Linked DNA regions of Saccharomyces cerevisiae S288C. The gene in region 2 interacts genetically with the main gene of each other region. Each region holds a gene or a part of one and is shown on either strand. Other genes may lie near its edges.

What was found. A genetic interaction does not mean that the proteins touch.
Region 1: of ECM9 (region 2) and YNL320W, a mutation in one rescues a mutant of the other (synthetic rescue), as found in Saccharomyces cerevisiae (one study listed by BioGRID).

The regions. Positions count from the first base shown.
Region 1 is NC_001146.8:33,415-42,258, forward strand, and holds YNL320W (uncharacterized protein), read left to right. Parts: upstream 1-4,285; coding exon 4,286-5,140; downstream 5,141-8,844. Other genes in the region: KRE1 (Kre1p), read right to left, coding at 1-821; VNX1 (calcium/hydrogen antiporter), read left to right, coding at 1,282-4,008; HXT14 (Hxt14p), read right to left, coding at 5,293-6,915; cleavage polyadenylation factor subunit PFS2, read left to right, coding at 7,205-8,602; prephenate dehydratase PHA2, read right to left, coding at 8,657-8,844.
Region 2 is NC_001143.9:446,299-451,034, reverse strand, and holds ECM9 (Ecm9p), read left to right. Parts: upstream 1-2,998; coding exon 2,999-3,224; intron 3,225-3,328; coding exon 3,329-4,236; downstream 4,237-4,736. Other genes in the region: mitochondrial 54S ribosomal protein mL50 MRPL13, read left to right, coding at 1-612; YKR005C (uncharacterized protein), read left to right, coding at 868-1,014, 1,084-2,514; oxysterol-binding protein OSH6, read right to left, coding at 4,308-4,736. UniProt on the Saccharomyces cerevisiae protein: May be involved in cell wall organization and biogenesis.

The sequences.
Region 1 (8,844 bases), on a different chromosome or scaffold from region 2:
ACAGTACCGGTTAAAGTACCCATCCCAATAGACCCCACGGAGGGAGAAGCGACTGTTACGTACTGGGAGGAGAAACGCTGGACAAAAGTAGTTTGCACAGTGATAGTGTTGCCCTGTCTAACAACAGTGACCCACATGGACGTTGGCGCACGTGTGGTTGTGTAAGTGGAGGTTGTACCTTCAGTGATGGTAATGTATGAGTCAATAGATAGACTAGTGACAGCAGACACAGGAGGTTCTGTGAAGTCTGTGGAGGGGTCTGGCCTGGTGCCTGTTTCAGCTACTGCGCTCCCTGTCGATGTGGTCGTCTTTACACTGGAGGATGAACCAGACGAAGATACAGACGAGGACACAGACGAGGAGGCGGATGAAGTAGCACTGGTGCTAGAATGTGTGAACGTTTGAGTCAATGTAACTGTGGTACCCAAATCGTTTGTCGTGGTAACTGTAGATAAATACAGTCCCGAAGACAACGATGAAGTTGCGGTAGGAACAGTGGTGGTTGTCTTACCAGTAGATGAGGTAGAAGTCGTCGTGGTTGGTAGCATAGTGGCTCTGTTGACTGTCTGAGTAAGAGTGACGGTGGTTCCGACATCGTTAGTGGTAGTGAATACCGTAGTGAAGAAACCTGTTTGAGCGGTAGTTGTAGCAGCAGCAGCAGCGGTGGCAGGGTCCCATATTGTGGTCTCCGTAACCAGGGCCCCTGCGACATTTGTTACCACTGTAACCTGAGTTGTCACAGCTGCCATGACCGCAGCTGACCACAACGACAAAGAAAGTAGCAGCGTAGCGAATGAATGTAATAGCGTGCGACGCATCATTTTTTTTTTGATTGTCTTGCAGAAGTTGAAGAGGTCTTTACTGTAGCATATACAAGTGCTTAATTCTTGATTTTTATTTTCTTTTTTTCATAATACACGTTATAGAAAAAGCCCCATTCTCAGTTTATGAAAAAACGCGATATCACCATACACGCTGAGGTAGGGGGATACAAGGTGAAGAATGTACGCAATAAGGCGAAGTATATGGCACAATTGAGCAGTAAAAGTGTTAAAATATAGTGATATATATATATAAAATACGAGAGTACCAACTATTATGATCTTTTAATGCCCTCTTTCCGTTGAGATATTCATAATAGTAACCGTCACGGAACTGTCGCTTTATACGGTGAGGGGATTATTTAGTTCCTAATTTATATTAGATAAAGAAGATAATAAACATGAGGGATGCTGTAAATGAAAGTGAAATAACTGCTAGCTAGAAGAGCGGTAAGCAGCAATGGCCAAAAATAACCACATTTCTGCCAGTGGTAACAGTACCTCTGGAGACCATCGTCTTAAAGAGGAGGTTCTGACCCCAACTACATCTGCCTCGACTCCTCATAGAATATTTAGCGTGGACGATGATCCAAAGGAGATCCAAAACGATATCAGGTATCTTGAGGGTCTGCATGAAGGGTTGAAGTTCGCCCTGCATGCCAATAAATCCAAGCGATCTGTAAGCTCGCAATCACCAATCGTACATAGCAGCAACAACACGCTGCACCACCACGAGCACCAACAACACTTGCCGCCCACACTAGAGTCGCTATCCTCCAAGTCGCACTCTGTGCCAGACTTAAATACAGCTACTCCCAGCTCTCCGAAACGAATGCATTCATCTATCCGGGAATTACCTCATGATGACAATGATGACGAGGACGCCAATGATGACAGTCGGTTCATTATACACGACTCGCACGGCCATGATTTACTTATAGACGAGATCAATTGCCAGTCGCCTTCACACTTGGAAAACAATGACCAGGCGTCTAATGCTTCGTCCACAGAGTCATTCACTTTACGAGAAAGACAGGACGCCATCAACGAGACCCACCCCTTCGGTATCAGGATATGGAAGCCTGCTTTATATAAGAAACACCGTTCAGTTCAAAGAACCGCGGCGCAAGACATTCACGAGACTCAGTTGAAGACTATTACCTGGGAGGTGACTTGTTCCAATGTGCTATGGTTTATTTTGTTCGGTTTCCCCATTGCGATACTCTTCTACTCGGCGGCTATTGTGGTATTTTTACTAGGCGGCGGAGGACTGGTAACGAACTCTGCGAAGGAGTACTCCAAGTGTCTGTATAAACTCGCCAATTATTTCCTTTGGCCTTTTGGCAAAATGGTATACTTGTTGCAGGACGAGCAATATTTACAAGAAGATAAGGATGAAGGTATTAGTATGCAGCAATTCTACAATTGGGTGACTTCATACTCCAACAGGCTGGTCTTCCACCAGTCTCAGGCCAAGTTTCAGCAAAGAGAGGACCATCCGGCCCCTGCAACGGAATCTTCGTCTTTGATGCCGCCCGCTAACACAACAGCAACACCGCTTAACTCGAACCATCCATCATATAATTCTATTAGACACGAAATTCCGCACGCAGCGGCTCAAAGACGGTACTTTGGGAGAGGAAAATGGAGCTGGGGTCGTGTTCTTTTCTATACAATCTTCCATCTCGTCTTGCAACCCATCCTTGCCGTCTTATCTCTTTGCCTCTGGCTCCTGGTGTTTACCATTCCCATGAGTAATGTTCTTTGGCAAATTATGTATCATTGCAGAAGACATCCGCTTGCATTAGGCTTCAAATATGTCGAGAACTCCTCCCAATCGCACGAAAATGAAATAACCCAGCAGCAATTGAACAAAAATATCCTCTTATGTACGTTCCGTGCCGCTGGCTGGCATTACTACAAGTACACAGTTGATGGTACAAATGTTATTGTTGTGAATTTAATATCCATCGTTTTCTTTACAATTTTTGACTTTTATGTTTTGAAAAATTTCCTGCATTGGAAAACGTGGTTCACATACGAATCCTCAATATTCATTCTTTGTTTGACATCCACCATCCCACTAGCATTTTACATTGGACAAGCAGTCGCATCGATCTCTGCTCAAACTTCCATGGGTGTCGGTGCTGTCATTAATGCATTTTTCTCGACCATTGTGGAAATTTTCTTGTACTGCGTTGCATTGCAACAAAAAAAGGGTCTTCTAGTGGAAGGATCCATGATTGGTTCCATTCTAGGTGCCGTTCTATTATTACCAGGTCTGTCCATGTGCGGTGGTGCTCTAAATAGGAAAACACAAAGATACAACCCTGCTAGCGCTGGTGTCTCTTCCGCATTGTTAATATTTTCCATGATTGTAATGTTTGTCCCCACCGTTTTATACGAGATATATGGCGGCTACTCGGTAAACTGTGCAGACGGTGCTAACGACCGTGACTGTACTTTCTCGCATCCTCCCCTGAAGTTCAACCGTTTATTCACTCATGTTATTCAACCTATGTCCATATCTTGTGCCATTGTTCTCTTCTGTGCTTATATCATTGGCTTGTGGTTCACCCTTAGAACACATGCAAAGATGATTTGGCAATTGCCTATTGCGGACCCAACCTCGACCGCACCAGAACAACAGGAACAAAATTCTCACGATGCACCCAATTGGTCAAGAAGCAAGTCTACTTGTATTTTACTTATGTCTACGCTCCTGTACGCAATAATTGCAGAAATCCTTGTTTCCTGTGTTGATGCTGTCCTAGAAGATATTCCCTCCTTGAATCCAAAGTTTCTAGGTCTCACCATTTTTGCTCTGATCCCCAATACGACAGAGTTTTTGAATGCCATTTCATTTGCCATCCATGGTAATGTAGCGTTATCAATGGAAATCGGTAGTGCTTATGCTTTACAGGTTTGTCTTTTACAAATCCCATCCTTAGTCATTTATTCCATTTTCTATACGTGGAATGTTAAAAAGTCGATGATTAATATCAGAACACAGATGTTCCCATTAGTCTTTCCCCGTTGGGACATATTTGGTGCTATGACGAGTGTTTTCATGTTCACCTATTTGTATGCTGAGGGTAAAAGTAACTATTTCAAGGGTTCCATGTTGATATTACTATATATCATTATTGTTGTAGGATTCTACTTCCAGGGAGCTCTTTCGGAGTAGAAAGCAACTGTCCCCGCTTTTCACCTGGATACCTACCAATTTTTCTTTTTCTTATATCTTTGTATTGTTTGTCTTTCTTATTACTTTTTATTCTATATAGTCTTTAGTTAATTAATTACCCGCAACGATCATTAACACCTCTTAAATTGATCTACTCACAATTGGGTTGTTCTTATACTTAGAGAGGTGCGTTCCTCGAAATAACTCGAATCAAGCCCACACCTGCTCCCTTTTTTATTTCTCCGTCAATTGCACTGTAGAATCCTTTTCTGGTCTCATGTTGTGGAAAGTTTCTAAGATGTTCTTGGGTGGCTTGGTAGCGCTAACAACAATATCGGTTGCGACCCTTTATCACTACCAAAATCGCCTAGTCTACCCATCATGGGCTCAAGGCGCCAGGAATCATGTTGACACTCCTGATTCCCGTGGAATCCCTTATGAAAAGCTAACCCTAATTACACAAGACCACATTAAACTCGAGGCATGGGATATCAAGAATGAAAACTCAACAAGTACTGTGTTGATCTTATGTCCCAATGCCGGTAATATTGGATACTTTATACTAATAATTGACATTTTCTATCGTCAGTTTGGAATGAGTGTATTTATTTATTCGTATCGTGGTTATGGTAACTCAGAAGGTTCACCCAGCGAAAAGGGTTTGAAATTGGACGCTGATTGTGTCATATCGCATTTGTCAACGGATTCTTTCCATTCAAAGAGAAAACTAGTATTGTATGGTAGATCTCTAGGTGGTGCTAATGCTCTTTACATTGCTTCAAAATTTCGGGATCTATGCGATGGCGTTATACTGGAGAATACATTTTTGAGTATTCGAAAAGTTATCCCATATATTTTCCCCCTTTTGAAACGCTTTACGCTTTTATGTCACGAAATCTGGAATTCAGAAGGCCTTATGGGAAGCTGTAGTTCAGAGACGCCATTCTTGTTTTTAAGTGGATTAAAAGATGAAATCGTTCCACCCTTCCACATGAGGAAACTGTACGAAACATGTCCTAGTTCGAACAAAAAGATTTTCGAATTTCCACTTGGTTCACACAATGATACTATTATTCAAGATGGGTACTGGGATATAATAAGAGATTTTCTAATAGAGAAGGGTTTTATCTAAAAGTAATAATCAAAATATTTGATAGATTTATTTACTTTACTGTATGTAAAGAAAATGTGGTCAGTCCTCACGGCCACTTAGTTACTGATGGTTATTTATTATGGAAAAAAAAACTGCACTTTGCTACTTCTTCTATTTATATTATGTAATATCTACTCCGGTTCAAATATTTTATTGATCTCTTGCTCATTCTTTTTCCTCGTTTCAGGAACTAGTATCCAACTGAATATTATCAACGCTAATAGGCAAGCAGCAAATATGTATCCTAGTTTGAAATCAATTTTGGATACAATCATTGGTGTTAAAAGTGATATTAAGAAATTGAACATCCAATTGATAAATGTGCAAATAGCCATTGATATGGCCCTCGTTCTTAGAGGGAACAATTCGGACACTAGTACAAATGTAACTGGGCCCAATGTTATTGCAAACCAAAAAATAAAACAACAAGTCACGATAATTAAAACAATATTTGAGAAGTCCGTTTCTCTTCCAAATGTCCCCACAGTAGCATATGTCATCATATAAAATAATAAATTTGTTGAACCATATAATAAACATGTCTTGTGGCCCCATTTCTCCACGTAATATATGCCTAATATCGTAGAAAGGAAGTTAACACTTGACAGTATGATTGAAGTAATATAAGGATCCTTAATCCCGACACCTTTGAAAACAGACGTTCCGTAATAAAAGAAATAATTTATTCCGGACAGCTGTTGAAATGCCATTATCATCATACCAATAATCAGTCTCAACCATAACTTTGGCTTTCCCATAATAAATTCAAATGTGTTTCTTTTAACTAAGCTTTGCTTTTTTGATTCGTTGTTAGTTTCCTCATTATTATAGTTATTTTCCAGCAAATCATCGATGAATTCAATTACCATGCTATCCGTCGCAGGGATGCCATTCATCCTCGCAAAAGAGTATTTAGCAGAGGGCACATCATTTTTGATTTTTGCCAAGTACTGTGGAGATTCAGGAACGTAAACAAGTGACATTCCAATTATAATTGCCCAAATGTATCCCAAGAACAATGGCAATTGCCAGGCTATATTTTGTGTAGGATCTTTATAACATCTTTCGCATATGAAATTTAAAATGTTTCCCATTAGTATGCCAAATGTTACAATCAATTGATACGTAGATACCATGGAGCCTCTGATTTTTAGTGGAGAATTCTCGGAGAGAAACATTGGCACCAAGACAGTGGTTACTCCCACACCGATTCCCGTTACGGCTCTTCCCAATGTCAAAAAATACCACCTTCCATAGGAGAGAATTTGAATGGTTATACCGATGCAGTACACTACTAAGGCAAACCATATACCACCTTTCCTACCAATCCAATCACCGATTTTTGACAGAGTTAAAGCCCCTACGCCACAACTGATGTTAAAAATACTGATAATTAGGCCTATTTGCAGATCAGTAAGTTTCTTAGTAGATACAAAAATTGTTTCATCGTCATGGATAATATTAGTTGTGCCAAATTTTTCTTGAAAGCTAACCATATTTGTCATTCCACCGATGGTTCCAATGTCCCATCCAAAAATAAAGCCACCAAGCGAGATTACCAAGCACAATAAAACGGGAATATGCAGACTCGCATTGTGACTAATCTTTGCTGCTTGGCCTTCTATATTTTCTTCTTTATCATCTAGATACTTAATGGTTACATTATAATCCCTTCCCCTGCCTGCATCAAGCTCATTATTGTGAAAATGAGAGATGTATCCCGAGCTATGTTGATACGGAATCTGAGCAGTCATTTCTAGCAATAATTGAAGTACTTTACTTCCTAAGAATACGTTAACAAATTCTTTGTTAGTATTTCTAATTAAAAGTGGTTAATTGTTCTGTTAAACAGTATTCAATGTTGCTATTTGAATTTGTGTCATCATTAGAATTACTGACATTTTTATTTTCTATTTTTTTTTCTATTTTTTTTCCTCTTCTTTTGAGGGCCGACGTATCGATTTGTCAAGGGAAGTATAATTAAAGAAAGCACTGATATACAGGTTGCTGGGTAGATATTAAGAAGCTCAACATAGACACGTTATGGACGGGCATAATCAGAACCAGTACCAGAATCAGAATCAAATTCAGCAGTCACAACAACCACCTCTGAAGAAATATGTGACACAGAGACGATCGGTAGACGTGAGTTCTCCGTATATTAACCTATATTACAACAGACGACATGGATTACCGAACCTAGTGGTAGAGCCAGAAACTTCATACACAATAGATATAATGCCGCCTAATGCCTACAGAGGTCGAGATCGAGTCATAAATTTGCCCAGCAAATTTACGCATTTAAGCTCGAATAAAGTGAAACATGTGATACCCGCCATCCAATGGACCCCAGAAGGCAGAAGACTTGTAGTAGCAACTTATAGCGGAGAATTTTCTCTATGGAACGCATCTTCGTTTACGTTTGAAACCCTCATGCAAGCACATGATTCGGCTGTGACTACAATGAAATATTCTCACGACAGTGATTGGATGATTAGTGGGGACGCAGATGGAATGATTAAGATATGGCAACCAAACTTTAGTATGGTTAAAGAAATTGATGCTGCACACACGGAAAGTATTAGGGATATGGCATTCAGTAGTAACGACTCGAAATTTGTTACCTGTTCAGATGATAATATCTTGAAGATTTGGAACTTCAGCAATGGCAAACAAGAAAGAGTATTATCGGGGCACCACTGGGACGTGAAAAGTTGTGATTGGCATCCCGAGATGGGGTTAATTGCCTCCGCATCTAAGGACAATTTAGTAAAACTGTGGGATCCGCGTTCCGGAAACTGCATATCATCAATTCTGAAGTTCAAACATACTGTCTTGAAGACGCGATTTCAACCCACCAAGGGAAATCTATTAATGGCGATTTCAAAAGATAAATCGTGTCGTGTGTTCGACATTAGATACAGTATGAAGGAACTAATGTGTGTAAGAGATGAAACGGATTATATGACACTAGAATGGCACCCAATAAATGAATCTATGTTCACTCTGGCGTGCTATGACGGCTCGCTAAAGCATTTTGATCTTTTACAAAATCTAAACGAACCTATTTTGACTATTCCATACGCCCATGATAAGTGTATCACCTCGTTATCATATAATCCAGTAGGACATATATTTGCCACAGCAGCTAAGGATAGAACCATAAGATTTTGGACTAGAGCGAGGCCAATTGATCCTAATGCATATGATGATCCAACTTATAACAATAAGAAGATAAATGGATGGTTTTTTGGCATCAATAACGACATCAATGCTGTGAGAGAGAAGAGTGAATTCGGTGCGGCCCCGCCACCACCAGCTACACTTGAACCACATGCGTTACCAAACATGAATGGATTCATCAACAAGAAACCGCGTCAAGAAATCCCAGGCATCGATTCAAACATCAAGAGTTCCACATTGCCAGGTTTAAGCATATAAAAGTGCGCTTTGACGAGATTTTAGGATACATAAATAAAAAGACTATATAACATATTATTTGTGATAATATCTCTCATTTCTGGGGAATGTACCCCACAGGCACCACTGTTTACTTTTGTCGCTGATATCTTCATAGAATTTTTCTTTATTCTTTGGGGTATTCTTCTCGGTGTAATATTCAATGAAAAATAAATATCGCCAGTTTCTATCATGTTCGTCCAAATGGAATGGTCTAGAGTTTA
Region 2 (4,736 bases):
ATAAAGGATATTGAAGAAGGCACTAACGAGGCTTCCTCTCAATCCTCTTCCAATAACAAAAACAGATTGGAGCTAATACCAGAAAATTTTATTGGCGAAGGGTCTAGACGGTGTAAGAGACAGAAGGAGTTGAAGCTTGCGGTCTCCTCTGCGCCATTCAATCAGTGGTTATCCAGGGATAAGATTACGTCTGATAATCAGTTAGATGATATGATATTGCAGGCAACGGAAAAAACATTGGGCAAAGTAGACCAGGACGTCCAATTCTCTGATTTGGTAGCTAAATTTCAGTTCACCAAATTTTTGCAATCTAAATCTGGCTATCTAATTCCTGATTATGAACTGACCACTTTAAGCACACCCTTGCAGTTTAAAAGGTATATTAAGGAAAAAATTTTGCCATCTGCCAACGATCCTAAACTCGCTTATAAAGAAGCTGAGCCAAATGCTATCCACCCATTTTCTGATAATTACGCGTCACCAAACATATATGTTGTTAACGATGTTACTTCTAAAGAGCAAAAAAGTAAATATGATACTATTATGAAAGAAATTCAAAAGTTAGAGGATGATGCAACAAGAAAAGCTTTGGAAACAGCAAGATCCGCTTAGCTTATGTTAATACTATTATTACTACTATCATTACATTTTAATATCCTGTACATATATATACTCTTTGAAGAAGTTTGGATTTTTCTTTCCCATTATAGATCACTTTTTTTTTTTACCTTATCTTTTCTGTAAGTTCTTTTTGTGGCTATATTTCCTCTTTGGCGGCTAACTCAAGAAGCAGTAAGGGAATAATTCGTTACACATTACAGCTAGCTAAAATCATCAAGAGGCAGGAACACACGAGATATACTGATAATGTTGGAATGTCTAAGCGCTCTGCTGGTTCTCTTTGCCGGTGGTGGTGGGAGCGTTCTCGCAGCGGTTCAAAGCAAAACTGTGGCAGATCCTAACTTATGTCCAGGTTACAATTCACAACTGATTTCCCCCTTCCTCTCCAGTTGCGTATGTACAACAAATTTACCGAGGTACTAATATTCTCTAGATTTTATTACTGACAAGATCCATGTGAAGAAACGAAATTTAAGTGAATGCGTGTCCCGTTATTTTGATGAACAATATGCATTTTGTCGGTCATGCGTTACTGTGAATAATGAAACAATGGAGGACTTGGATAACTGCAAATGTTTACAGTGTGCCTTGAGTTCCCTTAATAATAGCTGCTTTCACGATTACTGTACCTCCAAAGATGAGTATGACAAGTTGCAGATCGTTGTTGAACAATTTCAATTGACAAATGGAGTTTTAGATGACGGAGAGATTTTGAAACCTAGAGGCAACAAATTTTCTAGTAGAAAATTGTCTTATTTCGTTGGTCAAAACAATACTCTTTTTAGGAACCCTTTGCAGTTCGAAAAAAACCAATTAATTTCTGCACTATTAACCTCTTTAACCAATAATCAAAAGACTATATCATCAGTTGACATGTTCGAAGTGGTTGACGCTAATAATGAAGTTCAATATTTGCGCGAAAGAACGATAAGTGGTAAAACTCTGTCTCCAGCTACTGGTTATGAAGAAGAAAACGACGGTGACTGTAGTGTGAAAGATAAGAAGTGGGAAGGTAAAATCGAATACCATGAGAACAAGAAAGTTAGTTCTGAAAACTGTAGTAAGGATACCGATGATAAAAGTGGCAGTAAAAAAGAACGAAATACGAAGGCCCCATTATTTCACACTGCCACCGAAATTCATATGACAAGGTGGAGTTCTTGGAGGCCAAAGAAAATTTTTACTCGTTACTTAGTGAATGAATACCAAAGTCCTAAAATAATAACCACAGTGAACAGGTTTTACAGGACCAAGACTGATACTGAAACAGGGACGACTTTAATCACGTCGACAAAAGCCAAAAGAAGATGGTTTCCAAGAACTAAAATCGTAACAAGTACCGCAACTTCGACGTTTTTGAGTATCACGACTACTACGACAACAAATGCTATCGCAACGAAGTCGTTAGTAGCAGTACTTAATCCGGATGGATTGAATAAAAAAGCGGGAATAAATTTTGGTCTCTTTAGCGCTAATGGTGAGCTCGCTTCACCAGATGAAGGAGGTACACCAACAGTAGTAAGAAGAGATAAGATTTCTGATCCAGGCGCTGCTAATGAGCAGGCCACACTGTTCTCTACAACCTTTTCGCAAGTGCCGCACTTACCAGAACTAGATTCTGGTGAATTCATATCGGCGGCATCTCAATTAGACAAAAGGATTTTCATATTCACTGCCATCACAGTATCAATTACTACATTGATGATGTTGGGGTTTTCTTACCGGTCGCGGGTATCTTTTAGAGATCATAGTATCGATGACTCAGATGATGATAACGATTGGTCAGATGACGAAGTTGAATTTGACGAAGAGTATTTCTATTCTCTTCCTGTAAGCATACCAGAAAAGGGGATCAGCTTAGATAAAATGGCGCAACAACTTGGTGTAGAATAGTCATGAAACCATTGCGCTCTTTTTTCTTTACCGATATTATTTATGCACGTTGCTCATTTAATTCCTTTCAATCACTGATTCGTTTCACGATGTTAGATGATGCTATTGACTGTCCTCCAATTATTTGTTTCACAAGGATAATAGTACAAACTTACATAGCGTTGATAGTAAATAGGCTTCGTCTTTATAAGATATATACAGCTATTAATACACATTCGTTCTCCTGATCACGGTCTCAGTAAAGAAAATATTTTTTATAGGCTTCCGGCAGTTTTATAACTTCACATTATTTGACTAAGCAATTGTTCCATTTTCTCCTTTCCTTTTTATGTTTTGTTCTTGATTTTAATACTACATTTAGTTCAGCTCTTTTTCACTTATTTTTGCACATGGAAGATCAAATACATGAAAAGTACACAAAAGAACAAACAAAAGCCAAACAAAAAAATGCTAAAAGGAAACGCTCAAAACAATTGTTGAAGTTATGCAATCTTCTCTTCCCCTTTGCAGAGAATTTTTTGAAAAAATAACTGCATATTTAGATTATCATGATTTCAGGTTAACCATTACTGCCAATCAGCCTTCAATTACTCTCCCTTACTACGTAGACGAAAAAGCCCATTCCATAGAACTAATTATCTTCAAAACAACATTTTTATCTCTTTTCCAAGAAGCACATACATATTTTAACAAAACTTTCTCTGATCAAAGTATGTCTCAACGGTAAAATACAAAAAACTATTGCTATTTTACAATACGCATTTTGGATTCATTGTTACGGCTACTAACAATTCTACATATTGATGTAAATTAGGCGGCATTTCTAATGAGAATATTTATTACATGACTGTTGGATTTCTACTTACAACACCTGAAAACAAAACGGTATATAATGTACACGAAGATTTACTCAAGAGATACTTCCAGGACAACAGTGTTTTAGTAATACCGGATTTATTGGTCAAAGAAGTAAGACTGATTCAACGGCTTCTTTGTTCATCAAACAATCGTATCAACAAGTCGTCATCTCTTTGGATATTATACCGAAAACTATTCGTTTTATCTCTTGATGCTAATACACTGGTTCTTCCAGATATTTTATTTGTATTTCATTCTTCTGGATCCCAACATTTCTCTAATTACTACTGTTGGAATACTGCTAGGTGGTTCTACGATAATTTACCTTACAATAAAAGAATTGAGCTCTTCAATTTGACTAAGAGATTTTGCTTTCAAAATGTTAAGGATTGTTCCTCATGGAGCGCATTAGCATATATGGTATGCCAGCAGGAGGAAAAAAAAACCGATAATATACGTGATTTTCAAAGACTAACAAGCTCTTTTAATGTTCCGTTCAAGATAAATAAAGTGGATTTGAATTTTCAAGTACAGCCTGCGGATGCATTTACTCAGGAATTAGTAAAATGGATTGATCGAACGTATGCTGCAGATTGGCCTCCATATCTGTGTCTTCTGCAAATTACGAAATTTAATATCACCCTTAGAATTGAAATGGACTCTGTCTTATTGACTTGGAGAAATGAAATTCTGAATTTTGAAGAGAACAGTGGTCATATCAAAATGATAAATAATACTCCAATAGTACCTGAGAAATTTTCAAACGATCTTCTAACTTCTGTGAATTTTGCACATTTTGGCTATAAAAAGCTTTTCTTAAATAAGTTTTTGGATAAAAATAAGAAAGAACAATCAGATAGTTAGAACAAAAAAAAGAAAAACATATAAAAAAACTAATCTATAATTTACAACAAATATCATATCCAACATATACACTATTGTTTTGCTGGGTTCTGCTTTTCGTTTTCAATCATCTTCTTTTGTGATTTTATTTTCTCAAATGCGGGGATGAAAAATTTGTCGGTAAATTGTTGACCAGGTAAAATAGGTGCTATTTGCAATATGCTTCGTATTTGCTTCTCAGGGTCCTCGTCGACAGGGATATTTTTATAAATACAATAGTCAAGATCTTCGCCAGGCTTTGATCTTCTAAACAACTTTGGATGAAATTCTACGCCATCTTCAATGCGTTTTTTGGCTAACTGTCTTTGGTGATCTTCAATCTGAAATTTTTCTTCTGTCGCAACAGGATGATTGCGAACGGCCAACGCATCTGTAACCTTTTTCCACAGTTTTCTGGATTCATATTCACCTTGCTCGCTCAATGGCCGAACTTTTGGTCTCAATGGTGACTCTTTATGAGT